4 linked regions of the Mytilus edulis genome follow. The protein of the gene in region 2 binds, or shares a complex with, the protein of the main gene of each other region. Links are inferred from orthologs where the notes say so. Each region holds a gene or a part of one and is shown on either strand. Other genes may lie near its edges. The genes, in order: DNA-directed RNA polymerase III subunit RPC9-like, DNA-directed RNA polymerase III subunit RPC5-like, DNA-directed RNA polymerase III subunit RPC3-like and DNA-directed RNA polymerase III subunit RPC10-like.

Region 1 (7,243 bases), on a different chromosome or scaffold from region 2:
TGCTAAGTTTTAACCAAATCCATTCAGTAGTTTCAGAGGAGAAGATTTTTTAAAGTTAGCAAATATGATGAACAAATTGTGAAAAATTGTCATTAAAGGACAATAACCCCTTAAGGGGTCAATTGACAATTTTGGTCAAATTGACTTATTTGTAGATCTTACTTTGCTGATCTTTTTTGCTGTTTACAGTTTATCTTTATCTATAATAATATTCAAGATAATGACCAAAAACTACAAAATTTCCTTAAAATTACCAATTAAGTGGCAGCAACCCAACAATGGTTTGTTTGATTCATCTGAAAATTTCAGGGTTGATAGATCTTGACCTAATGAACATTTTTACCCCATGTCAGATTTGCTCTAAATGCTTTCGTTTTTGAGATATAAGCCAAAAACTGCATTTGACCCCTATGTTCTATTTTAAGTAACGGCGGCCATGTTTTTTGACAGATCAAAAATCAAAGCCCACACTTTGTGCAGGATAATCTAAGGAACAATCATGCTAAGTTTTAACCAAATCCATTCAGTAGTTTCAGAGGAGAAGATTTTTTAAAGTTAGCAAATATGATGAACAAATTGTGAAAAATTGTCATTAAAGGACAATAACCCCTTAAGGGGTCAATTGACAATTTTGGTCATATTAACTTATTTGTAGATCTTACTTTGCTGATCTTTTTTGCTGTTTACAGTTTATCTTTATCTATAATAATATTCAAGATAATGACCAAAAACTGCAAAATTTCCTTAAAATTACCAATTAAGTGGCAGCAACCCAACAATGGTTTGTTTGATTCATCTGACAATTTCAGGGCTGATAGATCTTGACCTAATGAACATTTTTACCCCATGTCAGATTTGCTCTAAATGCTTTCGTTTTTGAGATATAAGCCAAAAACTGCATTTGACCCCTATGTTCTATTTTAAGTAACGGCGGCCATGTTTTTTGACGGATCAAAAATCGAAGCGCACATTTTGTGCAGGATATACTAAGGAACAATCATGTTCAGTTTCATTCAAATCCATTCAGTAGTTTCAGAGGAGAAGTTGTTTGAAAAATTGTTAACGACGACGACGACGGACGCCAAGTGATGAGAAAAGCTCACATGGCCTTTTAGGCCAGGTGAGCTAAAAATGCATTTTATAGCAGTGTTTATGTGAATTATAAATTTAAATGTCTATGCAATCATGTTGGTAAATAAACACCCTACAGGGTCAAGTCATTAACCCTTAGGGTCAAGTCATTAACCCTTATAGAAATGAAAAGGCTGAATATTGTTATATAAACATATCAATGTCCTAATCTGAATAATTACTTATTAATTAGTGATGTACATATAAATTATACAAAAGTAATTTTTCTTACATTTTCTTGTTAATTTTTAATGTAAGATATACATGTATACATTTGAAAAATGAATTCTTTGAATTTATGTTAACAGTTTGACCAATCTAGACGAGAGGGTGATTTAATAGACTTTCAGAAGAGAATTATTGATAAAGGCCTTTTCCATTAATATTTGTGTAATGTGTGACTACATATTTACTTGTCTCATAGTTGCAAGAATAGTACTTTTTAAATGTATTATCACTCTCAAACAAGTAAACTAATTTATAAATCAAAATGTGTTTATAAATATCTTAAATGTATTGCAATTGAGTTTAAATTTCAGGCAAGTATTTTATATTACCCAGTATTGCCCAGTATTACCCATTAAAACCCAGTAAAACCCGGGTTTTCCCAGTATTTCCCACTGGGCAGGGCAATACTCATAAAACCCGGGTTTTTGCCAACCCTGAAAAGTATTATTAAATTTGTTTGTAAGATGTTGTTTCGATGGGTCTTTGCTTATTTTTGTCATAAATTGTAACTCATAGCAATACAAAAACAGGTCCGCAATAAGTGGTGCACAGTTAGTCCCCATTGAAATTCCGATAATCTGACGATATACGGAATGTAAAGAATATTTTTGTTAACAAACATCAATAAATATATTCTATTAGTCTATGCATATCAAAGGGAAACTAATGAATTGGTTGCAGCAATACAAATATTTGGCAAATATTTCAACACACTTAACCCTCTTGCTGCCAGAGGGACACATATGTCCAGACCGACTGTGCCATAGGGACATATATGTCCATGTTCTAATTTATGCAAGCTTCTCATCATTGATGAAATTCTTTAAAAATTAAACAAGAGTGCACACACAGAAATGTCTCGCCTTCTTTACTAATCATTGATATTATGTTGATACTCCTAAATCTAAAGCTTTATTACAACCGTCACATAGACTTAACATGAACCATGAAAATGAGGTCAAGGTCAGTTGAACCATATGCCAGGCAGACATGTACAGCTAACAATGCTTCCATACAACAAATATAGTTGACCTATTGCTTATAGTTTAAGAAAATAGACCAAAACACAAAAACTTAACACTGAGCAATGAACCTTGAAAACCAGGTCAAGGTCAAATAAAACCTGCACGACTGACATATAGATCATAAAATATTTCCATACACAAAATATAGTTGACCTATGACATATAGTATTAGATAAAAAGACCAAAACTCAAAAACTTAACTTTGACCACTAAACCATGAAAATGAGGTCAAGGTCAGATGACATCTGCCCGCTAGACATGTACACCTTACAATCATTCCATACAACAAATATAGTAGACCTATTGCATAAAGTATGAGAAAAACAGACCGAAACACAAAAACTTAACTATAACCGCTGAACCATGAAAATGAGGTCAAGGTCAGATGACACCTGCCAGTTGGACATGTATACCTTACAGTCCTTCCATACACTGAATATACTAGACCTATTGCTTATAGTATCTGAGATATGGACTTGACCACCAAAACTTAACCTTGTTCACTGATCCATGAAATGAGGTTGAGGTCAAGTGAAAACTGTCTGACGGGCATGAGGACCTTGCAAGGTACGCACATACTAAATATAGTTATCCTATTACTTACAGTAAGAGAGAATTTAACATTGCAAAAAATCTGAACTTTTTTTTCAAGTGGTCACTGAACCATGAAAATGAGGTCAAGGACAATGGACATGTGACTGACGGAAACTTCGTAACATGAGGCATCTATATACAAAATATGAAGCATCCAGGCCTTCCACCTTCTAAAATATATAGCTTTTAAGAAGTGAGCTAACACCGCTGCCGCCGCCGCCGGATCACTATCCCTATGTCGAGCTTTCTGCAACACAAGTTGCAGGCTCGACAAAAATTAAAAAGTGCAATATGTTTCTGCAATGGCTCTCAAATGTAATGATCATTACGACATGACTTCATATATCGAATGACGTCATTGTTTGGCATGTCACATCACAAACATGATCATCGAGCAGTCATGTTTCCTGGCACATGAAATGCAACACTGAAAAACATATGGCAGCAAGAGGGTTAAACATATTCTGTTCAGATAATAAACATTATGCACTAGACAGCAAAAAAGGAAAACAAATAAAATCAGGGAAGTGGACCCAGGGGGAACATGTATCAGGGCGAACAGGTACTAGGGCAAAAGCGAATCAGGGCAAACCTGAATCTAATCGAACATGAATCATGGTGAACGGACCTGGATTCAGTCATCGCTGAAGAGTTACATGAACATGTATATTTAGTGAAATTGTTATGGAGGATCTGTAAATGAGCTATAGAGGCAGGTGACCGCTGAAACAAGGTGACAATTAAAGCAGGTTTAACTGTACAGTTAAGGACGATCTGGTAAATAATATTTGGTAGAATAATAATTTTACAGATGACATGATTCTAATGTTTTTGCTACTTTTAAAAATATTAGATAAAAATTTTGGTGTTAGGCATGTTTTTACCGTAATTTAAAAAATCAGCGTTAATGCATTTTCGAGTAAAATAGAAGAAACTGGTTAACTAATTTGCTGTCAGCATCATCTGACGTCACCAATCGATTTACAGTGAAATTCTAACAAGGAAATCGAGTTTCGCGTTAATTACATCGTATTCCGGATAATTGCTATTAAATTGCATAGAATCAATATTTCCCAACAAAAATTGTAAAAATACATTTATTCATAAATTATAACGCGAGAATATTAAAAAAAAATATGAAGACAGCATTGTTATTGTATTTTTAAGAACAATTGCAAAAGTAAAATGCGTAAAATATTTCGTTGTTTCTCCGTTAATATTTTTAAGATCGATATTTAATTTTCCATATCCGACTTCCGGTCTTTTTACACCTGAATTTGCAGTAAAAACAAATGAAATGTTTAGATTCTGTAAATGAAGTCTGTGTGTCAATATTAGATAAAAATGATTGTTGTCAGTAAAACCACCATACACGGATTATTAAATTTTGTAAGCATCATTTTTGATTAATCAAACATCCTTTAATTAAATGTAAAAATGAGTTACCTAAACGTGTTACAACTCGATTTTTTTAGATTCATTTTACAAAATTCATTTAGTTGTTCAGATTTATACACATTTCAGATTTATAATGAGAGTTTTGTCATATGACGCCGTGGGCCTCTGTGGCAGAGTGTTCTAAGTAGTTACTACTGTAATCGCTAGCCAGTCAACACCAAGGTTGAATGAACTTACAGGTCCGTAACTAGCCTCTTATAATAGTGAAGCAAAATATATTCACCTAGCATAGCGATGTGGAAAAATTTTGGCGAGGGGTCTGGGGGCCACTCAAGGCCGGAAGAAGCTCTGAAAAAAAAACCCTCAAAATCGTGCATTCTGAGGGTTTCCCAGACTTTTTCTTACATTAAAACGAAATCAATTTTTAGCTATTTTTTTTTTAACAATATTCTTGTCTCAATACATAGATTCAGTGTAATTTAAGACTTGGGTTTTACGTGGACAGCTTTAAAGGTAGACCGATATGTAGGATAAAGCAAAAATCGTAATTCTCATTATAATTAAAATCGGATCTGTCTGTTCTTGTCTTGTATTGTGCTTTGTTTACGACTAGATTTAAATATAGTGACAGTGCAGTATTATACTTTAAGTACTAGTTCTGCTTAAGTCGACACTAAGGACCATCTTGACCTTGTTTGAAGTTACTAATGATTCTTTTATTGTTGAAGACCCCCCAGCAACTATCAAGATGAAGAGCAGGAATAAATACTTTGACCATTGATCATTTGTATTTTTCTCTGCATTGACTTTGTGTTAGATTAGGTCCCGTGCAAGTTTACTACACATTTCTTTATTTTTTGTTAAAGGGTCTGAACACGACTTATTAAATGCAAGTTTAATCCTTCAATGTATGAAAAGGTCATACGGTAAAACATTGATGTTTTTTTAGTAGATGATTTGATACCGGAAAATTGGTGGTCTTACTTTAATTTATACCTTGTCAGCTATCTAGTTTTATCTACAAAAAAAAAAAACAGTTTTGTATTCTTTGAAATCAAGTTCAATTCTTCATGCAGAAACGACCATTTTTTTTCTGTGTCCAGTAGCATCGTGTATTCTCAAAATATTTCCTTGCACAATGTCTGGGCATCAGTGGACATGCAACATTGCAAAACCACACTTTTACAAATGAAAAGCAACAATCATACTATCGTCATAAAGTAGGACAATAAATGAACAAAAGACAAACCCAGGACACAGTACAAACAATAGACCATCAAATCTGAAAACTAATAGTAAAATAGAAACATGGATCACGAAAAACATGCAGGTGCGACATCAGAGAGTGAAGAGAACTTGCTTCAGATTGCAAGACGCTTTCTATGAAAACAACTTGATATGAAGACAATCTTTTGTTTCAGTTTTGTTTTTTTAAATTTCCAACATGAGGCATTTGCCTCAATGTAGTTACGGCCCTGACTTATACATTAGTGCCCACCTTAAACTTGCTGTGAGTTGAGAGTTTTTGCTGTTTGTTGAATGGTCACAATGTCACCTTATGATCAACAATAAAAGCACAGTTTTTATGCCTTTTGTGCTTTTTGCTGTGCAGGCCAATCATTTTCACTTTGATTTAATTGTTTTATATCTGTCATTTCGCTCCTTTTATAGCTGACTAGTAGGTATTTGTTTAACTCAGTGTTTAAAGCTGTACATGTGGTCTATAGTTGTTAAATTTTTGAGTCATTTGGTCTCATGTGGAGAGTTTTCTCATTGACAATTATGCTCTATCTTATACCAATATCTTTTCTTTTCTAATATACTGTGACAGGACAACTAGTACTTCGTCCATTAGAACATTTGGTAGATACTAAGTCAGCTGTAAGCGATTGAGCTAAGGAAGTTCTTCTTTAGCTCAGTTGGTTAACACACTGCCTAGTAACAGAGGTCCTAGTTTCGCGTCCAGGTGGAGACGAGCAATTTTGTAATGAAATTCATTCTCTCTGGTTACAATACAATATATTTTAGATTGACTTCTGTCATAAATTATGATAAACAAACAATTAAAGTTAAAGAGTCAGTTGGGAAGTTCAAAATAACCATAATCATGATAGTAGGACCAAAAATAAAAACAATTTAGGATTAGCACTTTAATTTTCTATACATTGAAATAAGAACTTTGTTTCTAAATAAACCTCTTTTTTTTAATTTTAAGTTACTAGCTGTGATTGTGTTGCTTGCCCAGGTATGTATACGTTTAAGCTGCTAGTAGATTTATTTTAATTTTTTTAATTTTCAGTTACTAGCTGTGATTGTGTTGCTTGCCTGGGTATATGTTATAGCTGCTGGTAGATTTATATCCATCAGGACATTAGAAAAGCAGTTCCCAACCTCATAGATTATAAATCATACTATAGTAAAATGGAGGTGAAAAATGACAACTCTGCTATACTGAGTAATTATGAAGTTCTACAACTCCTGTCTGACATTCACACTGGAAGAGGACAAATCAAACCAAACAAGCACCAGAAAAACCTTGCAACTATTACCTATGAAACTGTTAAATATCTAGAAAATACACCTTGCAAAAATCAAAGTCCAGAACTTATTCAAAACATCATGACAGATTTGCAAGCATTTAATTTAACAAAAGCAGAAAAACTACAAATTTTGAATCAGTGCCCAACATCAGCTGTTGAAATTCAATTGATTATAGAAGAAAGTGAAGAACGTTTAACAGAAGACCAGATTTATCAGCTGTTAGAAATCATAACAAAATATAACGTAACAAAAGAAGCATCTAACGCTGGAGATGAAGAGATGGAAGACGAGGACGATTCTGTGGAACAAACTTAACTCATTTACAT
Region 2 (7,487 bases):
TTTTTTAATTTATGTTTTTTAATATTATTAGAAGGTTGTTTCTAGTATGTCTAATCTAAGGCTTCTGCAACACATGTTCAATTCAATTCAATTCAAAGCTTTATTTATAGACGGCATGTAAATTAACGAATCCCGGTCCGTTCGCCCTGGTACATGTTCACCCTGATACCTGTTTTGCCCAGGGTCCAACGCCCTGAATTTTATTTTTTTCTTATTGTTGTCTAGTTGCATAATGTTTATAATTTATATATGAATATGTTAGATTTTGTTGAAATTCGCCAAATACATGTATATGTATTCCCTCAACCATTTTATAGTTTTCTTTTGATTTACATATAGGTAGAATACTGGAATACAAATCAATGTTTATAATTTATCTTTATTTTAATATTTGTTACCAAATCATTTTATTCAGTCGATTTAAGCAGTATAACTGAGACTACTCTATCACATGATTGTGTTAAAGTAGTTTCATAATAAATGAACTTGTAAATTCTTTTCTTAAAACAAAATGTTGTTTTTATTATTAATCCCGCATCAAAGACAAATATTACAACAATCAGTGAGAAGTATTATGTCATTGAACAAGCTTTCTATGTGTTTTCAGAAATTCAAAGAATAGACCACATAAATATGAGGGGCCTGATGGGGGGGTCTCATCACGATTCACGAGTTGATTTTTTTGTCAATCACGAGTCACAGAAAATAAATTTCCATGATCACAGATCACGAAAATATAAGAAGAGTATCACCAATCAATCTCGATAATAGAGATTCAGAAGCTGGTTGTTTGGTGCAATTAAGCTACAATCAAATACATTACTGGCTCATTACTTGTTTACATGTTGAATTCTCCCAGGTTCTAAATTAAATCGTTAAAAACAGTCACATTCTGACTTCTTTTATTGTATAATAATAATATTTCATAGAAATGTTTTACTGGCGTAAATACCATGGAACCACATCTGTGTTTTATCTTGAGGCTAAACTAAGAGATTATAAAGTATATATATTTATTTTGTCAATAAAATTTACTGCTGAGCCTGATTGTTCTCCCACTCCTGCTGGTTGTCCCAATAAATTTATTTTCCTGTCCAAAACAGGTTGGATCTACATAAAATATCACAACCTCGACAATGTTATTGCTGTGGCTCTCAGCCATGGGGGCTGCCATAGCTTGCACTAATAAATGACCTAATTGCACTTTTAAAACTATCGTGCCACTTCAACTTTTTAAGCCAAGAAAGACAACTCAATGGAACTCTTTTTTTCCGTAATGAAAAAAAAATCACGAGAACGAAAAATATGTCTCAATCACGAAGAACGAACATAAAATTCCAATGAAAACGATTCACGAACAATGGTTTCATCACGAATCACGAAAAATAAATCTGTAGATAAACGGATCACGATAGCGAAAATGAGCCGATCACGAAGAACGGAAATAACCCATCAGCCCCCTCAAATATCTGAATAAGTTTTGTAAATTTTTATGCCCTTTATAATATTGACATTTCTTATTTAAAAGTAGGGCGAACGTACCAAGGGCGAACGGACCCAAGGCGAACATGCAATTAGGGCAAACTGACCTGATACCTTAATAAACAGATATACATATCTGTGAGCTTTTATAACTGACAAATACATAAAGGATTGAAACATAAAATGTTATTGTCTCAGGTCTTATCACATGTATATGAAGGCAAGCACAATATATTTTCATATTACCAAAAAGTTTACAGAAACTTCCACCAATTGTGTTGAACCGTAAGATGTTGTATTTGTGTTTTTGAGAGCACAACCTATTTCAGAAAGTTCAATATATTCTGTGCATCGTTTTCCAATCAATGCCATTTTCTCTGAACACTTTCAATCTCTAGATTCAATGAAGATATCCAAGAACATGAAGTATAGATTTGTTTCCTTGTATCATACATTTTTAAATACTTTTTGCCGGTTGATTTCTAAGATTTGACTCATAAGTTTTTGTTTCCCGCTTTTAAGCAGCTAGAGGAAAAGAAAACAAAAACTGTAAAAAATGACTCAGAAAGTTCATTGTTTAAATGCGAAACCGAAAGTATGGTGAAGGAAAAACTTATAAAATATATTCAGTTATCCATGACTGTTTGTTACTATAGACCTGTTGTTTCAACATTTTTTTCTGTGGTTTCAACAAAGATGATTGTTCGTTGACGTCTTCCGCCATCCTCTCACGTGTTGTTTGTTGTTGACATTTAATCAAAATTATTCCGAAGCAGGGGAAGCTGCCGAGGTGTTCCGATTAAAAAATAGAAAAGTCCCGAGGTAAAACGTATTAAAAAATGTATTGCAACACCGATAATAGTATATATTGAAAGAATAAATTGATTAAAGTTTTAATGAATATTACCATGAATTGATCCTTGAAAAAAATAGTCCACTCTTCAAACCAAATACAGTCTGAGGGTCAAAATTGTTACACCTATTAGAAATTATTTCACACTGTGACATTGGTGCTGTTATGACCCCCCCCCTAGTCCCTCCCTTTTATTATCATAAACCTCAGATTTTTTAAATATATATAACACTTATTTGTACCATATATATTCTAATAACTTTAAATAAGCATGCCTAGTACTATCAACGTGAATCTCGACTATACAGACGATAGCTTAATCAGTGCCGGCAAAATGTTCTTCTAAATATGAAAATACTCCCATAATTACATGACGTATGACATATTTAAAAAAAATAGATTAAAGGTAGCTCCATGGTATAACAACATCTTGGATTATACAATCGCAAAACAAAATCGGTCTAGTTATTTGCCCAAATCTGCAGTTTTGGAGACAGATTTACAATTTATTAGTTCGACTGTTTATTGATTTAAAAAAAACTTTGTGATTAACTTTATTATTCATAATATTTAAACAAATATCCATTTTTTTGTTTTTAGAATCATATTTTTCTCAAATAAGCCATTTAAGTGTAGATAACTCTTTTGGGGGAAATGCAAGCCTACGGCTTGGTTCGTTTGCCCAGGGTTCTTTAATGCTTCCTAGGAGTCTGTTTCCTGGGAACGTGAGCCCGCGTAATTTTGAATATATATAATAACGGGATGGAATTTTATCGTATTACCTATGTGTTCTAAATTGAAAACCTGTGTTTAATGAAGTTAGATGGTCAGTTTTCAGAGTTTTTTAGTTGTAACCGCAGGATTGATGCAAAGGAAGTCATTATCCCCTTTTTATATTCTCTCTATAGAAATAGAATTAATCAAACAGGCCTGGGTATTGAGCCATATGAAGTCAGAATGTTAAATTCATTTTTGTTCATGTACGCAGACGTGAGGTTTATCATATTTTGAAAATTCGCCGAAATGCACTTTGTATCAGTATTTACAAGATGGCAACACTATGCAATTTTACCTTAGTCGTCCATTAAACAGTTTGTATAAATCTTATATTACTAGATATAACATAAATGCTCATGCACTATGCATAGAAACAGGTAGATACTATAGTATAGCAAGAAAGGAACGTTTGTGTAGTATGTGTAATACAAATACTATTGAAGACGAGTATCATTTTATTTTAGAATGTGATAAATATAACGACATCAGATGTAAATATGTAAATAGTTATTACTATTAGAGACCCTCTACTTTACTGAATTAGTGTAGCTGTTATCTGTAAGAAATATCAAAGAGCTAAACAACCTAGTAAAATATTTGTTTTCTGCAGAAAAAGCACGTAATGGTTAATTATTCAAATGTTTATTTTTAGTTTAATATGTCTATATGTCATACTCCGCTTAATTCTTTCATTGTTTTGTATAATTTGTGTATAAATGTTATATTATGCTGTATATTATCTATTGGATATTTATATTGTGTAAATCCAATAAGCTGTATTTGCTTACGGAAATAAAGTATTATTAAATTTTGTATACACTCAAACTTTATTTTTAGTCGTTTTGACAACTTTATTAGAAAAATAACTTTCACACTTTTTTAACATATGAATTATACAAATTTTATTTTTTAATGTGCAATTACTTTTAATTTCTATTTTTCTAACCAAAACTTTAAATACAAATTAAAAAATATAATTTGCCATTATCTTCCCTGAACTGACTCACAAAATCAGGAAATAACCGACATTTTCGTGCATCTTTCACTATCATATGACAGTTTATTATAAAATCGGTTGCGGGTACACGTAGCCTACGAAGTCAAATTTGACTACGCGTACCCGCATGCGGGTATGCGCAGACACTGCCCAAAATAAAATGTAAGCCGTCCTCTCCCCATTCCAAACTCTCTTTTGTATCTCAAAGAGAGAGAAAAAATCTTGTTGAAAACAGATTATAAAAAAAGTATGGAAATAAAAATGGAAACGGAAAACTTACAAATAATCTATCATATTATAAAAATAATATGTGATCATATGTATATTTTATCAAAATAATTGAATAAAACCAGGTTAGGGATCAGCACTATTTAACTTACCTGTGAGTATAACAGTCGGAACAATGTCGGACGAAGAAGACGACCCGATTGAGCATGAGGTGACAAAACATTGCATTTTAATCTAATGACAGGTTCAATAATGAATTTTGTTATAGAATAGTATACTTGCGTTACATAGTTAGCTATAAAATACTTGAAAATTTTGACAAAATTGAAATTTAATCATTTGGGATTGTTGTTTGGAAAAAGGGGGAGGGGTATTGTTAGTTCAAGAACTGAAGAAGTTAAAAAAAACTTCACCATATAGCAGACATATTTTACCATACTATATCCACAATGTCCAATTACTCTTCTTTCCTTTAAATATTTTTGGAAAATTTCGAACAAAGAAAGAGTATGTAAAAACATTTATTCCATCTATCAGTCAGTGGCGTAGCTTGCATGTATGCTCAGATGCTCAAGCATCCACATCATTTTGACAAAAAAAAAATATATAATTGCATATGTTGTGTCTGAATGTAAGGGTGACGATATGTGAACATCGTCCAATCATTTCCAAAGCAGTATACATGGTCTTCTTTCCTTTAACCTTTTGGCTAAAATGGCCGTATTTACACCCCAAATTTTACTCTGAGTACAGACTAACCTATACACCTGCAACAGTTTTAAGGGATGGCAGGAACTAGATATATAAATTTTAAATGCATTTTATGTTTCAGAAAATTATAAACTTTTCTAGATTTTGCTATCCATTTTTTTTCGTTCCTGCAGAAGGTGCAAAAATTAACTAAGTCGTGAAAACGATTGAGAAGCTCCCCTCATATAATCAATGTTGTGAGTAGTATTGATTTAAATGGACAATAGATGGACAATAGACACCTGTAAACAATATGTGATTTAACAGGTTTAAACTGTGTAACTGAGTGGACCGTATCAAATGAAACTCGGGTGTCAGTCTTCACGCTGAGTGGCAGCCCTGGCAGCCCAGGCAGCCCAGGCAGCCCAGGCTTGTAAAATTGCTCTCGGGCCTGTAAATATCATATCTACAGGCCAACAGAATCTAACTAAAAAATTTCAAAAATTGAGCTCCGGGCCTGTAGGTTTAACAGTTCATCGTGAAGACTGGGGTGTTTGTTTATTTTGCTATCTTCTGCAGACTGGAAAAAAATGGACATCAAAATCCAGGTAAGTTTTTAATTTTCTGAAACGTAGACTTCATATAACTTTTATATATCTAGTTCCTGCCATGCCTTAAAACTTTCCTGGATGTACCAGTTTGTCTGTACTCATAGTAATTTTTGAGGTGTAAACACGGCCATATTTTTCAATTCCTTATGATGAACCTTAAAGGGAAACTTCGCAAAAAAATCAAAAATTGATATTATGTTCATTCTGTATAAAAATGTTCAAATTCATAGATATTAAAGTTTTATTCCGCTAGATAAGCGATCACCATCGATTTTAAATTTAGAGTATCAATTCTCCGAGATCCGCCATCTTGTCTTCTTTCCCGATGAATAAAAACGATATGTCTATAAACCACAAAGAAACAAAACTACAGTAACCGATGTAGTCGTAATTGCTTGTCGATATCTTGTCAATCGTACGGTTGTATAATACGACTAACTAACTTGATATGGAAAATATTCTTACTTTTTTTAAATTACCATGGTCTGTTGTTTTTAAACTGTTGATATGTGAATTAGGTGAAAAGTCAAAGTTGAAATCATAAATAAGTGTTCCGTGAAAATTGTTTTCGAAAATCTAATTTGTTCATAATTCTTTAAAGTAATAAACTTTTTTCAAGTATATTTTGATCTTCCCTTATCTGATCACCAGCATGGCTAAAGGTATTACTTCCAAAGGTATTGTGAGGGGTGTGAGGTGACACGTCCAGGTATTCAAGCGATTTCCTGTCGGGCTTGCAAGTTCATGCATCGTTTCACTTCTGCAGGTATTGATCAGTGTACACGGCTGATAACTTATAACTTATAACTTTCCATTTTGAACTATCAGATGTATAATATACAACTCTGTCTTACTTGTCATTACTAAACTCATACGCTTGTTTATAAATAACATTTCTGGTGTAAAGAATATAATTCATAATATATAAATAATACCCAAAAAATAAGATTTGATGAAATTAAAATCTATTTAAATATTTTTTCCAAGGGTGAATTTGGGAAAATGTAATATATAGTCATTGTCAATAGTGAAGGACAGATTGGAACAGACCAGAAATATTGATTTAAAAAAATGTACGCACTTGCCGACGATTCGTTTATACGACTGGATATAAAGTTACGGAACTATAGCGCAATTTAAAATATATACGTGAATACATTGAACATAAGAAAAAAACATATATTTTGAATAAATAGGGGTAAAAGTGTTGTAAATAGGCTAGCCAACGTATGCCAACAGTATGTAATTATCGAATGTCGATAGACTACAGTTGTATACCAAAAGAAGAAGAGAACCAATTTGATTTAAATACAGGTCGATGTATAACTTTTGCTTTGGTTCATTGAAGCTGTGGACCTAGGAAAATCACAGATTTATATTTCAATAAGATTGTTCTCAAACAAAGGAAGGAATTCGTCATCACAATTGTTATATATGCCACTGGACAAACACTAATTATCCCCAGGGGATGCGAATATTTTGCTGGGAAACTTTTGAGTATCAAAGTTTCAAATTAATTTCGGGATTTATTTTCTTTCTTGGTATTCAATAACCGAAAAAAGAATAAATTACTTGTTCGCTAAATAGGGATATTCTTGTCAGATAAAAGAATTTTAGTTATATTTAAAAAATAGGGAAATATGACATTAAATTGGTTCTGTCTTTTTTTAAACATCGTTAAAACGATGTGTGTCTAAGGTGAACGCCACAAGAACCCTGTAATACTAGTACGAGAGTATAGCATGTAAACATTCCTTCTCAATAATATGGTTGTATTGGAAAACTTTTCATACAGATTGACAACTCATTGTCCGATATGCATGTAATATTTGCCACATGACGCCCATAG
Region 3 (7,781 bases), on a different chromosome or scaffold from region 2:
TCTGAGTACACAAGATCACTCTTGATTTTTTATGGAGTTTGTGTTGGGTAGTTTTCAGTTTCCTATGTTGTCTTCATCGTATTTCATTTTTTTGCCATGGCATCACCCATTTTGTTTCAACTTGTGATTTTGAATATATATATCCATTTGGCATCTTTTACCTCTCTTTTATATCTAAAGTAACCCATTCATTCTTTAACACTCTAGGGAAAGTATGGAGTGCAAAGAACATCTCAAGCAGCACAAAAATGGAAATTTTCAATTCCAACTTTAAATCATTGCTCTTGTATGGATCAGAGACATGGAGAACAACCAAAACAATGTTGTCTAAGACTTCAAAGGTTCATCAACTACTGCCTAAGGAGAATCATGAACATCAGATGGTTCCATAAAGTAAGAAATGAAGACCTATGGAAAAGAGCTGGCCAAGAACTGATTGACATCCAAATCAAGAAAAGAAAATGGGTATGGATATGCCACACACTGCGAAAATTAACAAGCAGATTACATTGATTGATTGTTGTTTGCTTAACGTCCAAGCAGATTACAAGGCAGACTCTAAAGTAGAACTCTCAAGGGAAAAAAAACACAGAGGACGACCAAGAAACACCTGGCGTAGGGACACAGAATCGGAAATAAAGCAGCAAGGACACAACTGGAACACACTAGAAAAGCTGGCCCAAAATCGAGTTAGATGGAGGGAGTTCGTCAATGGCCTATGCTCCCCGGAGGAGCCAAGGGCCTAAAAAAAAACAAAAAAAAAAAACATTCATATTTCTTTACAAATGTATTATGTTATACATGTTTAAGAAAACTCTCCTGCTGACTATGATTTAAAGTTACCTTTTGGCCCCCTGAAGTCAGGTATCCCTGCTGAGGTGCTGATACCTGCACCTGTGATGACAATCATATGTTTACTATATTTGATCAACTCTACCAATTCTGCTATCTTTCTTTCTCCTTCTTCAGGAGAATCTTGTAGTTCTGGTTGGCCACAAGGTCCTTTATGCTCATATGGTGATAAACCATCTGCGTAATTCACTGACATCTCAAACTGAAATAAAATTGAAAGAAATAATTTAATATTGTAATCATTTGGTTGGGTTGTTGAAAAAAGAAATGAGGTGTAAAACATGTATAAGTTCTGGACACAAAATCATACATGAACATGATGAGGGTCTGTATGAAGGTCCCTTTTTTCTGTATTCTATACTCTTAAGGTAATTTTTTTCTATATCCTATGCTTCATATTTTTTGGCCCATTTTCTCTATTACCGTATTCACATTTTTTGCCTACTATCATGATTATTGTCTGTTCTTTATATTTTAGCATCATTTAATTAAGGCATTATACCGTTGGTTTTCCCGTTTGAATGGTTTTACACTAGTAATTTTGGGGCCCTTTATAGCTTGTTGTTTTCGGTGTGAGCCAAGGCTTTGTGTTGAAGGCCGTACTTTAACCTATAATGGTTTACTTTTTAAATTGTTATTTGTATGGAGAGTTGTCTCATTGGCACTCACACCACATCTTCCTATATCTATTCTAACAAAGACACCATAACATGCCAGGCATAACAGGCAGGGCCTAAAAATAGTCATTAAACTGATATGTACATATTTGTACAGACTGAGTTGTACAAAAAGCAATGCAACTTTATATAAAATATCATTGATTTATCACAAGGAGTTTTTATCACACCAATTATGACTTAAGCAGAAAACTTAACATTTGATATTGCTAATGAATTCAAAGTCACTGACCTAGTAACAATGGTAAGTGTAATGAAGCAAAACAAATCTTGTATATATAAAGGGGATCAAAGCAACATTTGTACTTTTAAATTTCACAAAAGTATCAAAACAGTGCCATCTATCTTAACTGTTTTAAATATTTTTGATGCAATATACATGTATACCATGAAAATGATGAAGCCAATTTTTATTTAATTTAACTTGGCTGTGAAAATTGGGGAATGTAATCTTACCCCATAAAGGAAAGATACATTATATATGACCTTATGTGAAGATTATAAATAAGGGAGCAATTTAAATATTAAATTTGGTAAATACATTCTTAGTGTTACAAAAAATTACAATACAAGACAATACCCTGAATACAGTACAAGAATACAAAGTATTTAAACAATGTACTGTAAATTAATAAAAATGGTCAGGTTTTAATTAATTTGAATAATGCAACCGGGTGGGAATCGCAAGAATAAGAACTTGCATTCTGATAACTGAAACATAGATCTGTATGCAGCTATTTTTGGAAATCGCAATAATTAAACTTGCACTTTTGTCCATTCTTGAAAAATTGCAATAATAAATGCACGCAATAATTTCTGAATTAACATTATACCATTACCATTGGGGTTATTGCATAAGATTTCTGTTCACAAGAGAGACAGGCAATTGAATAGTTATGGTCTTCATGGTCATGGTGGTCATATGAATCTGTGCTGTCAGAATCTTGATGTTCCCTCTTTATTAATGGAGTTGGATCTATATTTGATTGGTCAATTAGTTGTGGTCTAGCAAATGTTACTGTAGTAGCCAACTCTTGACCAAGACCCAATGTTGAATATGGGTTATTGTCACTGGGAGAATCTTGATAATCTTGATGTTCTCTCTTTATTAATGGAGTTGGATCTATATTTGATTGGTCAATTGGTGGTAGTATAACAAAAGTTACTGTAGTAGGCAACTCTTGACCAAGACAAAATGTTGGATTTGGGTTTTTGTCACTGGGAGAATCTTGATGTTTTCTCTTTTTCAATGGAGATGAATCTATATTTGATCGGTCAATTGGTGGTGGTCTTGCAAAAGTTTGTGTAGTAGCCAATTCGTGACCAAGACACAATGTTGGATATGGGTTATTGTCATTAGGAAATCCATCTACAAAGTGTATTGAGCAAATACGAGACTCTTGAGTAGGGGTCCAGATTTTATTTCCAATACTTCTGTTTACATTTTTTGTCCAGATTCTCCTGTTGTATGGGTTTTTAAGTTCAGTTGGAAATGTGAAAAGTGTAAAAGGAGGTTCACATATACATCTTGATGTTCCAAAATTACAATTATGAAAGTCACAGAAGTGTTCTTTCCATTTCTCTAATCTTCTTCCATTATTTCGACAACCTTTAACACAACAAGCACGCTTACCCATTTTGAAATTCTGACATAAACATCACAAAGTTGCTGAAATATATATATCCTAAAATTGAATACTTATAAATTGAGGTAAAACAAGAATGTGTCCAAAGTACACGGATGCCCAACTCGCACTATTATTTTCCATGTTCAATGGACCATGAAATTGGATAAAAAATATAATTAGGCATTAAAATTAGAAAGATAATATCATAGAGAACATGTGTACTAAGTTTCAAGTTGATTGGACTTCAACTTCATCAAAAACTACCTTGACCAAAAACTTTAACCTGAAACATGCACTGTCATTTTCTATGTTCAGTGGACCATGAATAAGGTTGTGCAAATTATGTCACAATAAAAATATAGAAGACGAAAAACATTTTATCTTGCACTGCACAAAATATGAATCACAAAGAAATGTTCTTGTATCAAAATTGTCCTATTTTAAAAACTATGACAAACAATCCAAAACGGAGGATGAATATATCAAACTATTACTTAATCAGTTAATAGCAAGTGTAGTCAAAAACACTTAGATTAATATCATCTTTTATTAATCAATCATTTGAATTAAGAAAAAATGTTCTTATAAATGAGTAATACAAAATGTATGAACAATTTGAAGCTATAACATACAATAAACTTATGTCAGTAGTCTTATAATTCTTATAAATTAACCTATATACATTGTATTGATATATTTATAAAGTTCTGCACATTTCATTGTTCGAAATGTGCCCAATGATATGCTATGTAGTATTGTTTAATTGCTGCATCATTACTATTTGTATACTAGTTGTATGGGCCATTGCCAATTATTGTAATTGAGTTTGTGCCAATCATCGGAGGCATCCAATAAAATATTTGTATTTGTATTTGTATAATCGCCTCCCTCTTTCATTTTTTGTCCTTGCTATCAGAGCTATTCCCAAAGTCTGTTACAAAACTGGCTTACATTAGCAAAGCTGATTAACTTACTTTTAAACTTAACTTTACACTGTTGTTTAGATAATTCGCCTTTTTAAAAATCAAATCTAAAGGACTATGGGTAATCTCATTGTTGGTACACCAAAATGAAAATAACGTTACGTCATCATGGTCATTGGTTGAATTTCTATTGTTAATCACGTTTTACACCAATCACAGCGTTTTGTTGTACTCTTTTGGAAATTTTACCCAGAATGCTTAAGATTCCGAAACGGTGAATTGATAACCATGTAAAAGCTCGCCATTAATTTGGTATATATTTTTCATCTTTCTATAGTTAATATTGAATTAAACCTGATAAACAAGGCAACTTTCCACTAAAAATTAGAAACACTGACACTACACTAGCGACAGGAAATTTCAAATAAAAAATGTCAAAAAGTGATGCTCTGCAGTAGGCTCAATGTTTTCGGCAGTGCAACCCAAGGAAAAAACAACTGGATAAGTAGATTACTTAGCTGGGGGAGACACCAGGGGACTGTGTTTAAGATTCTCTCGATTATTAGATCTATAATTAAACTCAAAAGTTATACTGTACTGCAAAAAATCGTAAACAGTTTCCAAAACCGCTTTTGTTTCAGCTTTTACCTTCTTTGTTTTTGGAGTTCTCGGATCTTTTCCATACTTCTCTGTTTAGCTGGAATCTCTTTTGATTTTACCAACCAATTTAATGACGAAACAGCATGTCACATAATAAAAGTAACCTATGCAAAAGCATATTAAAAGATAATTTTGGAGAAGTAGCAGAAGCAGTTGGATGTCATCTATTGAAGGATAATATCTGTGCACTTAGATACCTTGCATTAAAGAGCAAATTCTCACTAGAACAGGTGCATTACTGATCTAAATAAACTATATATTTTTATAAACATAATTACATAAAATATGATTTTAAACATGATATAAAAAGATGTGGTAAAACAAAATTATTTTATGCTTAACAGCAACAAACAACAACCAGTGAATTATAGGCTCCTGTCTTGGGTAAGGTCTGTTTGCCCTGATTCACTGACATATGTATTCGCTCTAGTACATGTATTTGTAAAGTACCTGCTCGTCCTAATACCGGTTTGCCATTGGCCTGATTTTTCTTTTTTTCTTATTGTTCTCTAGTTGCAAATTTGCATAATTTCAGAGACATATATACAATGTATATGCCTCTGATAATGTTTATTATTTGAACAGAATATGACTTAAATGTTAATTATAACGTGCGTTGTAAAATTCACTGAATATTTCGGTATTGCTGAATCTTATTTATCATTTTCCCTTTGATTTGCATAGTAGAATACATGTACATGAATAAAATGTATTTTTCTTTAAAGTTTTGATATTTGTTAACAAAATATTTCTATTCAGTAAATTATTATATATATATAATGTACAATGTAGTATAACTGAGACCTTAAACACATGTGTTTTAGTCATCTTTGCTAGCCTAGGGTTACAATCCACCCATGTCTCTCTTGTCTGAAGAGGAGGGAAGTGGATTGTAATCCTTGGCTAGTGAAGATGGTGTCAAAGTAGTCTCAGAGTTTAATAATAAACATGATAAATGAATTTGTACTGAAATCCTTTTCATGATTAACAATTTGTACATCATTGCTTTTATTAATTCTAAGCTGACTAGTTTATTAAAAAAATGGTATTATGAACCCAGGCCAAATGGACTCTATTGGCGAACAAACTCAGGGCGAATGGACCTAGGATGAACATGTAATCAGGGCTGTGGCAGGTTAATAATGTTAGTTGGTACGAAACAATCCCCATAACCTGGGACAACATTAGATCAAAATACAATTATAAAAACCAGTGATAAAGGGCTTAATATACATTAACTATATGAGCACCTTGTAAATGTATACAATTAGTGTACATGTAGTTCTTTGCATTAGCCTGCAAAATTTGGGACAGATTGGCAATAAATGTATAAGACTGTTTATTTGCTTTACATAATTAAGTAAAAATAAGGTGATTTATTGCATTATTAAGACTGTTTTAACCTACACCAATTGTTTGGGTTTGTTCGAATCAATTTTCCCAACTAGGAACTTTAAGGGAGATAATTTAAACATTGTTAAATAGTCAAATTTGATAAAGGAATTTAAAGAAATTCAGATTTTTTAACTTGAAGCAAGCTTTAGAAAATAAGTTCTGTGACACCATCTTTTCTATTTAATTTCTTAAGCATATTTTAAAACTTGTCTTCTATTTATTTCAAATTTGCATCTATATACATGATATACAGATATATCATTGTATACACAATACACTTAAAAGTTAAAACACAGAAGATACAGTACAGATCTGAGAGTACCCACAGTGTCTGAAAGCTTGTTCAAAGACAAAAATAACTAATAAAAATCATAAGTCTCAGACTTAAATATCAATCAGTACACATTCAACATTCAATCCATGGATTAAGTGTTTTTAGAACCTTGTTACCAATCAAAGAAGAGCAATGAAGAGCATGGCCTTGTTTGTTTTATTTTTATTTTTTGGAAGAAATTGAACAAGGCACGAGCAGTTTTACTCTACGAAAAAAATAAATTGTTAAGGATTCATAACAGAACATTCATGAAATCATATACATGATATAAGTATTACCCCTGAGCAACAATGGTGCGATATACTTGAGTTAAGGAACTTCATGGATAGCATTTTTAAGCAATTTAAGTTTTTCCTTTTTAGCTCACCTGGCCCGAAGGGCCAAGTGAGCTTTTCTCATCACTTGGCGTCCGTCGTCCGTCGTCGTCCGTCGTCGTTAACTTTTACAAAAATCTTCTCCTCTGAAACTACTGGGCCAAATCAAACCAAACTTGGCCACAATCATCATTGGGGTATCTGGTTTAAAAAATGTGTGGCGTGACCCGGTCAACCAACCAAGATGGCCGCCACGGCTAAAAATAGAACATAGGGGTAAAATGCAGTTTTTGGCTTATAACTCAAAAACCAAAGCATTTAGAGCAAATCTGACATGGGGTAAAAATGTTTATCAGGTCAAGATCTATCTGCCCTGAAATTTTCAGATGAATCGGTCAATCGGTTGTTGGGTTGCTGCCCCTGAATTGGTAATTTTGAAGAAATTTTGCTGTTTTTGGTTATTATCTTGAATATTATTATAGTTAGAGATAAACTGTAAACAGCAATAATGTTCAGCAAAGTAAGATCTACAAATAAGTCAACATGACCAAAATGGTCAGTTGACCCGTTTAGGAGTTATTGCCCTTTATAGTCAATTTTTAACCATTTTTCGTTAATTAAAGTAATCTTTTACAAAAATCTTCTCCTCTGAAACTACTTGGCCAAATTAATCCAAATTTGGCCACAATCATCTTTGGGGTATCTAGTTTAAAAAATGTGTGGCGTGACCTGGTCAACCAACCAAGATGGCCGCCACGGCTAAAAATAGAACAAAGGGGTAAAATGCAGTTTTTGGCTTATAACTCAAAAACCAAAGCATTTTGAGGAAATCTGACATGGGATAAAAATGTTTATCAGGTCAAGATCTATCTGCTCTAAAATTTTCAGATGAATCGGTCAATCGGTTGTTGGGTTGCTGCCCCTGAATTGGTAATTTTGAGGAAATTTTGCTGTTTTTGGTTATTATCTTGAATATTATTATAGATAGAGATAAACTG
Region 4 (7,773 bases), on a different chromosome or scaffold from region 2:
CACGTTTGGGCGTTTATACAAATGACACGCTTTGGCGCAGTTTCAACTAGACATGTTTGGGGGAATCGGACACGTTTGGGGGGAAGGACACGTTTCTGAGTGTTACATATATACAGTGTAATCTGCTTTATCTGATACTTGAGTATTCCAACATCCTGCTTTAACATGTTTAACCAACATATTTTTATGGTCTCAAAACATGCCTATCATTACAGAAATAATCTGAGTATTCAGACACCCTGCTTAATCAGATATTTTTTTCTGATCCCCCAGTGAGTCAGATAACACAGGTTACACTGTATATGTACCTTTTGGCTCTTTAAGTGTCCCCCAGGTTCCTACTTACAGTTATTATATCCGACAATGTACTCTGGACCTTGATCATAACTTCCTGATGACTAAGAACCAAATCCTCATTACAGTTCTCTTCTTCATCTTCTTCACCTTCTTTACATTCAACCTTATCTGTGATCTGATCAACAGGTCGGCTGTCAAGGTCATCACTATGGGTACTGTCTTTGTTTACATTTTGTGTGTGTACATTCGTGTCAGAAGATTTTGGTGTACTTTGATCAGCACTCAGGGATTTGACAACCTACAATTAAACAAGTATTTTGTGAGTATTGCATTGATTATTTGAGTGAATTTTCTAAGTCACAAGGACTATTTATGAAACTCTGCACAAAATCATCAGTCTGAAACAAAATTATAGATTTGTAACTTTTCATGATAAAACAATGCTTTCTTTATGATCTTTGTCCAAATAGTTATGACGTCTTTAACAGTCAAGGGTCTAACTTAAATAAGTTATCAGAGAAAAATAACATGCATGTGTTATTACAGACACTTTCATGAGTTGTCTACTCTTTTTTCCTTAATCTGTAATAACATATATGTTTGTTATCGGTTAAATATATCATAAATGTTTTATCTTTATGGGCACTAGGGAATTCTTAAAACTTTGCGCAGTAGTTTAATATATTACCTTGATAACTAATTTTCTAATTCTATTAATACCATTTTGATCAACCACGGTAAATCAATGAGACAAGGCCTTTAAGGGCAAACTACATGTAAGCTGTAATAACAAGGCTTAAGTTATTACAAGCATGTAAATAACTGTATGAGAGTAAATGAGACACTTGAAATCTTGCGCAGTGCCTCATTACAAGCTCTGATCATCATTTCTTACCATGAATTGAAAGTAATTGTTATGCATGTCAGGGCAAAGCATTCAAAGAGATATATATATAGAGAATCTGTAATAACACCCTTTTGTTATTGCAGGCATATATTTTCTGTTATAAAATAGGTGTACTATGCATGATTTGTAAACTATGAGCTGTTATATCTTTGCAAAGATTAGTATACATAAAGTAAATTATACTATCAATAGAATTGGAAAAAAATTTAACAAAATAAAGGTTGTATATTTTCCCTTTGAAACATGTAACATACATACATGTATGTTATCACAGTTTTTTGATATTTTAGCCCACAATAACAACATGCATGTTATTTTTCTCTAATAACTTATTTAAGTTAGACCCTTGACTGTTTTTTAAAACATGTTTAAAAGCTATTTTATTTTTGGGATTTGACGCCTTACCAAAACACAGTAAGGTGTCAAAGCAACAACAAAAATAGTCTTTAAAGACATCATGATTATTTGAACTATAAATGCTTTCTTTTTCTAAACTTTTTATATTGCCCTTGTATCATGTGCATATCATCATGATCATTTTCATATGTCTTGTACTGTACAATGTATGTGTGTATGTATTTTAAAAGCTCTATAGAGCTTTTTTTTTCTTTGTTTCTTTGTAACTTATATACGTGTAATACTGAATATAAATAAAGCTGTTGTAGGTCGTACATGTACTTAGAATGAGGCATTCAAATGAGTTAATTGGTACGACAGTGTTCTCCCCAGGACATGATACATTTGTACTAATAAGAAGTTGTCTGAGTTTGTAGTACAAGTCTGTGTTTATATAATTAGTGGTAAGAGTTAAAATTGACATTGGTAAGAGTTTGCAATGGTGCAGGCAGCATAGCTACAATCAGACAACCTCAAATTCCAACAGTCCAGTAGTCTGACAGTCCAATAGTTCGACAATCTGACAGTCCGTAAATCCAACAGTCTAATGGTCCGACACACATATAATATACTATTCAATTCCTGTTCAACATGTTGATGTTGTTAACGAGAAATCTGTTGACATACATGTACATGTGCATGTGCCTGCATGTAAAATATAATGTGGTTGAAAGTGATACATGTATGTCACATGTATTAGATGTGTGGCAATATTGGAATCTTCTCATATCTGAAGGGCGTTCGCCCCGAAACGACTACATCGGATTGGATTACATACACATGCATGACATGAAGAAGTAAATAAAAAAATTTGTATCTGTAATTTCTTTTGTTCTTTAAAGATCAATAACTTTTAATGAAATAGGAAAAGTGTCATTACATGTATCTCAAATTTTCCACATGCAGTAACACTTTCAGATGATGTTTCATAGTTCATGGAATGTAATCTCAATAAATTGCGTCACATCTTTTTTTCTGTCATCAAAATAATACTTTATCACGGGTTCGACGACTTACAGAAAAGAGTGACGATTTACAGAAAAGAACCGAAAAGGACCGAAAAGGACCAAAAAGAACCGAAAAGGACCAAAAAGAACCGAAAAGGATATCGATTTTTTTTTGTAATCGAAGGTAATAAAGCGACCCCTAGATAATCCAGAGTTTATTGTGGCTTTGTTTGTAACGCAATTTGTTCTGTCCTACTTGAATTGTTTAACGAAATATCTTCAAAATAAAGATTGTGATATGGTTCTTGCATATGACGATGCAGCTAATAAATACATTAAAGACCTTAAGACAGTTGAAGTTTATTCCCCAGATCTGCCAGATGTAAATACATGGGAACAAGAAGTGACAAAGTGACGATTATCGTGATTAAATCACGTGCAACAAATGTATATTTGACATTTAACATCCGAGAGGAAATGGTGATGCTGACATGTATATTTTTTATATTACCATACCCAATGCCACCGGGCAATATGCTGACATCTTAAATATAAACAAACGAAATATATTTTTTTTAAATGTAAGGAAAAACTTTTGTAGTACGATAATATTTGCTTTTCAATTTTTTTTTACTGCGTATTATTAAAAACATGTAGTATGCTAATTCAGTAAAACGTTTAAACCTGCTGCATTTATATTTGCACCTGTCCTAATTTAGGAACCTGATGTTTAGTGCATGGTTGTCGTTTGTTGATGTGGTTTGTGTTTCTTGTTTCTCGTTTTCATTTTTATTTTGACCTATAATTGTTTACTTGTACAAATTATGACTTTGATTGTGAGTTGTCACACCTTCTTATATCTATAAAAACAAATATTTAAATAATAAGATTAAAATCCTTGATGAAAAATAAATGATAATTAAATACATATATTAAAAAAATATTACTAAAAAAAAACAAGTTATATTGTTTCTCTTTTGTAAATTCACATACCCCTATAAATGCACAATCTAAATTTTGAATTATGCATTCCATTTTATTATTACGAAGAATTGTTAACAATATAAAAAAAAATCCGTGTATATATACATGGTTTTAACTTTATTTAATAAATATATATGCATCCTCTTTTCGGTCCTTTTCGGTTCTTTTTGGTCCTTTTCGGTTCTTTTCTGTAAATCGTCGCTCTTTTCTGTAAATCGTTGGACCGCTTTATCACTGCTCTTGTATTGCAATATTATAAATCGCTGTACTATCTATTCTTTTTCTGGTTTAATTGCAAAAACCTGAACTTTTTGCTGATAAATGATAACACTTATATGTAAATTATAATTATAGACTTTCTCGTTCTTCATATACATGTAGATTATACCGTTGGTTTTCCTGTTTGAATAGTTTTACACTAGTAATTTTTTTGGGCCCTTTATAGCTTGCTGTTGGGTGTGAGCCAAGACTTCGTATTGAAGACCATACCTTGACCTATAATGGTTTACTTTTATAAATTGTGACTTGGATGGAAAGTTGTCTCATTGGCACTCATAACACATCTTCCTATATCTACATGTACTTAGCCTTCCAAGTCATAGAATCGCGTAAAAAAGAACGGAATGAAGATGGGCAATGACGTGAAGACAGTACTTATTCATACACAGCAGACAAAGCAGATACATTTGATCATGAGATAGTGGATATAAGACTGATGGCTGCAGTGCTGAAGGTTACAGGTTCAATTCTGACTCTGGGTGCGAGACATTTCATTCATCAGAAGGATGAATTTCATTATCCCTCTCCCATCTCTTTGGATTATAGGACTGTCTGATTATAGGTATTACTCCATGGTACAAGTTTTCTATAAATTGCTGAAATTAATTGATACTTTAATTACTTGAACATACATACATACACTTGGAGCTATTACCCGTTAAGGGGTGTTCCTTATAATAGGAAGCTTATACGAAGAAAAGAAAGAAAGCTGCTACACTATACAGTAAAGCCAAGCAATTGTTCTCAAATTGCATATTAAAGGTAGACATTTACCTTAACAAAGCACCTATCAAGTAAATCAGACTGGTCCATGGGCGCAGCCATTTTGTAAAGTCATGTGATATGATTGCTAATTTTTGTGTTTATTTCAAACATTCTAATCATACGCAGCAAATAATAAATAAAAAGAATAATGGTAACTTCTAAGAAAATTAAATTAAATTTGATTATAGTGCTCCGAACAAAATGAAAGTAGAAATGAGGTCATTTCCGGTTTCACTTTGTTCTTTCACAACTATGTTGCTGTTTTGTCCAACGTGTGCGAATATTCTGGTGGTTGAGGAAGGCCAGAACTGCTACAGATTCGCATGTAACACATGCCCTTATATACAAAATATCAACAGAAAGGTAACCATATAAAGTTATAAGAAATATATCTCGGCTGATTCATGATATAAATTTTTAGTAAAGTTAAAAAATCTTGGATATGTATAAAAATATACTGTAGAACAAAAAATTTGTCTGTCTATGATTTTCTCTTTGTCAAAAATAAGGTATTGGTCGAGGACATAACTGTCATCTGAAAATTGTCATGACATCGTGTGAGGTATGTAGCATATAGTCGTCATTTGATTGGGGTCTTATGAGGGGGGGGGGGGGGGGGGGGGGGGGGTGTTCTGATCCTGGATTGCGCTTATTGTTTAGAGAGAATAACGTATCCAGTGATGGATCCAGAAATTTACATAAGTGGGGGCCCACTGACTGACCTAAAAGGGGGCCCACTACAGTCACGCACCAATGATTTCCTATATAAGCAACCAAATTTGTTCCCAAAAAGGGGGAGCCTGCCCCCCCCCCCCCTAAATCCGCCTCTGGTATCTCCCTTCTTGTTGCAATAATAGCGCATGTAATGTCCCATGCTCCTCCAGACTTTGTTTCCTGTTTCACCCTTATTTATTTGACTTTCACTTGCCACCTTAAAAAAAAAAAATTGGCTACATACGTGTCACTTTTTCACCTTTTTTTTTTTTAAATCGGCCTATCCCACATCACAATTAGACCCAAATACAACCCACTATGATTTCTTGAAAAAAAAAATCTTTTTTTTTGCGATTGCTTTTTTGGTGGTGTCATTTAAACCAATTTAGAGTTATGCCCCTTTACAAAAGGAAAAATTGATGAATTTTTGGTTTCTTGTCTCTTATTTAAGTTTGTCTCAACAAAATGTTATAAAACTTATATACAAATGCCTTTTTACCAAAAACTCAAATCAAGTATAAATTTGGGTAGCTTAAGTGTCATTAGCACTCATACCACATCTTCCTATATCTATAGGATGGAGAGTTGTGTCATTGGCACTCATAATTTATTACTTCTTTTGTTCTTCAGTTATGTCCCTTAAATTATAACTGCAGTGTATCCCAAACTGTGTCTGACTGACAAAATGTCAGACAAAAATTCTTATGGCATGTATGGTCAGACATAAAATGTTACATTTTTTAGTTGAATATATCATTGTATATAGAGGAAAAGTGTCACATTTCTTTTTTGATCAGATCAACCCTTATGGCTTAAACAGTTTTGATATATAAGCGGGGGTTTCTTGGGCATATTTAATAAATGGTTATTCAAGATCGAGAACTTTTGCGTATGGATTGCATTTACCCTTTTTTCATATAAGACTACATTTGCAGTCTGTTTTTTTATGGTGTGCTAATACACTAAGACATATATGTCTATTCAGTACCGCAATTTTGTTGCCGCTGCCTTTGGACTATCATATATTGCAATCGTATTGAAAAAAACAAAATGCAGCATTTTACAGGTATCATCGGTGTCCTATGGACACATTCCCCATTTATTTTCATTTGATATTCATTGATATCATTAGATTGAGTTAAATACAAACATGACAAATACAAATACAAATACAAATACAAATAATTTTATTTTGCAATGAGCGCCCCAAAGGAGCAGAAATTTATATTCCAATACAAGCACAAATTATACAAAACACAAAATTCTATAAGGAATGGTACAATATAAGTTATTAATATTGATATAAAATAGCAAATGGAAGGGAACATAAAAACAGATGCATGTACATGTAACAATGAAATATATATATTACATTGTATTGACAAGTAAAGTCATGAACAAATGAAAGTGATTCAATCTAAGTATTCAACAATTTGAACTTTTCATTCTTAAATAAGTTGCATATTAATGTATATATATAATGATCTTCAGAGGACATTTAATAATAAACCATATAAATTTTTCATCACATTTTAGTTGATCAAATTTTTTTAATTTTAAGCTTATTTAGTTTACATTAATTGTAAATTAATGGGAAGTTCTTATTATATCTAGTTTAGGACATACAAGGAGAAAATGAGCATGATTTACATAATCATTGATTTAATTTAATTCCAGAATGTCTACCTTTTCAATTTCCAGATCATGAGCACTTATTCAAAATTTGGTTAAAATTTTCTTTTTCTGTAGTCCCCCCAACAATGCCCAAGATAAATAATTTTCAAAACTAAAGTTAGATTTAAACTTTCTGTATGTCAATGTATGTCCTTAATTTATTTCCATGATTTAGGTTAGGATAATCTTTAAATACTTGATCGTGCCAAATGTTTTTGTATTTTTCTTTTAGCATGTTTAATAACTGAAAGATTAATTTTCTATTAGGTTTTGTCTTATTTATTGCTCTACTAGCAGTGACCAATCAATAAGTGCTATTAGGTTGCACTCCTCTTGATAATAAAATTGGAAGATGTGATATAAAATTTGCTCATGAAACATCTATTTACATGTGGGCCATAGGTTACTGTACAGTCCTTCAACAATGAGTAACACCAATTCCTTTAAAACCTACTGATAGTAGGCTCTAAAATGCCATGATGATGACATGATGTAAAACAATTTAAATAAGAAAACTGATTTATGATAATAGAGTAACAAACAACAACCATCGAATTACAGGCTCTTTGTTTTGGACAGACACTTACAGACATGACATATTACTACATTTTTGTACTAGTTTAACAGTGTAACCTGATACCTGTCTAATCTGACACCTTAGTATTCCAACATCCTGCTTTTAGTGCTTTAACAGACACATGTCCCAAGCCAGAAACCTCTGGCCTTTCAGTGAGTCTCGTTTGTTTCTTTTTTAATTTTATTTCATTTATCTGTTTTACGGTTTTGTATGACGTTTATTTTCACTGAACT

What was found.
Region 1: DNA-directed RNA polymerase III subunit RPC5-like (region 2) and DNA-directed RNA polymerase III subunit RPC9-like share a complex: the UniProt entries of both Homo sapiens proteins name them as parts of the RNA polymerase III complex. The link is inferred for Mytilus edulis from reciprocal best matches to the Homo sapiens genes POLR3E and CRCP.
Region 3: DNA-directed RNA polymerase III subunit RPC5-like (region 2) and DNA-directed RNA polymerase III subunit RPC3-like share a complex: the UniProt entries of both Homo sapiens proteins name them as parts of the RNA polymerase III complex. The link is inferred for Mytilus edulis from reciprocal best matches to the Homo sapiens genes POLR3E and POLR3C.
Region 4: DNA-directed RNA polymerase III subunit RPC5-like (region 2) and DNA-directed RNA polymerase III subunit RPC10-like share a complex: the UniProt entries of both Homo sapiens proteins name them as parts of the RNA polymerase III complex. The link is inferred for Mytilus edulis from reciprocal best matches to the Homo sapiens genes POLR3E and POLR3K.

Annotation. Positions count from the first base shown.
Region 1 is NC_092344.1:6,443,859-6,451,101, reverse strand, and holds the start of DNA-directed RNA polymerase III subunit RPC9-like, read left to right. Parts: upstream 1-4,223; 5' UTR 4,224-4,367; intron 4,368-6,675; 5' UTR 6,676-6,797; coding exon 6,798-7,232; 3' UTR 7,233-7,243. UniProt on the Homo sapiens protein: DNA-dependent RNA polymerase catalyzes the transcription of DNA into RNA using the four ribonucleoside triphosphates as substrates.
Region 2 is NC_092352.1:63,261,761-63,269,247, reverse strand, and holds the start of DNA-directed RNA polymerase III subunit RPC5-like, read left to right. Parts: upstream 1-4,479; 5' UTR 4,480-4,512; coding exon 4,513-4,548; intron 4,549-7,487. Other genes in the region: H(+)/Cl(-) exchange transporter 7-like, read right to left, coding at 1,729-1,854. UniProt on the Homo sapiens protein: DNA-dependent RNA polymerase catalyzes the transcription of DNA into RNA using the four ribonucleoside triphosphates as substrates.
Region 3 is NC_092347.1:36,094,667-36,102,447, reverse strand, and holds the start of DNA-directed RNA polymerase III subunit RPC3-like, read left to right. Parts: upstream 1-4,776; 5' UTR 4,777-4,823; coding exon 4,824-4,970; intron 4,971-7,781. Other genes in the region: NAD-dependent protein deacetylase Sirt7-like, read right to left, coding at 844-1,054, 2,369-3,166. UniProt on the Homo sapiens protein: DNA-dependent RNA polymerase catalyzes the transcription of DNA into RNA using the four ribonucleoside triphosphates as substrates.
Region 4 is NC_092355.1:14,059,088-14,066,860, forward strand, and holds the start of DNA-directed RNA polymerase III subunit RPC10-like, read left to right. Parts: upstream 1-4,761; 5' UTR 4,762-4,776; coding exon 4,777-4,938; intron 4,939-7,773. Other genes in the region: U11/U12 small nuclear ribonucleoprotein 25 kDa protein-like, read right to left, coding at 347-595, 4,585-4,635. UniProt on the Homo sapiens protein: Core component of RNA polymerase III (Pol III) which synthesizes small non-coding RNAs using the four ribonucleoside triphosphates as substrates. Can mediate Pol I proofreading of the nascent RNA transcript.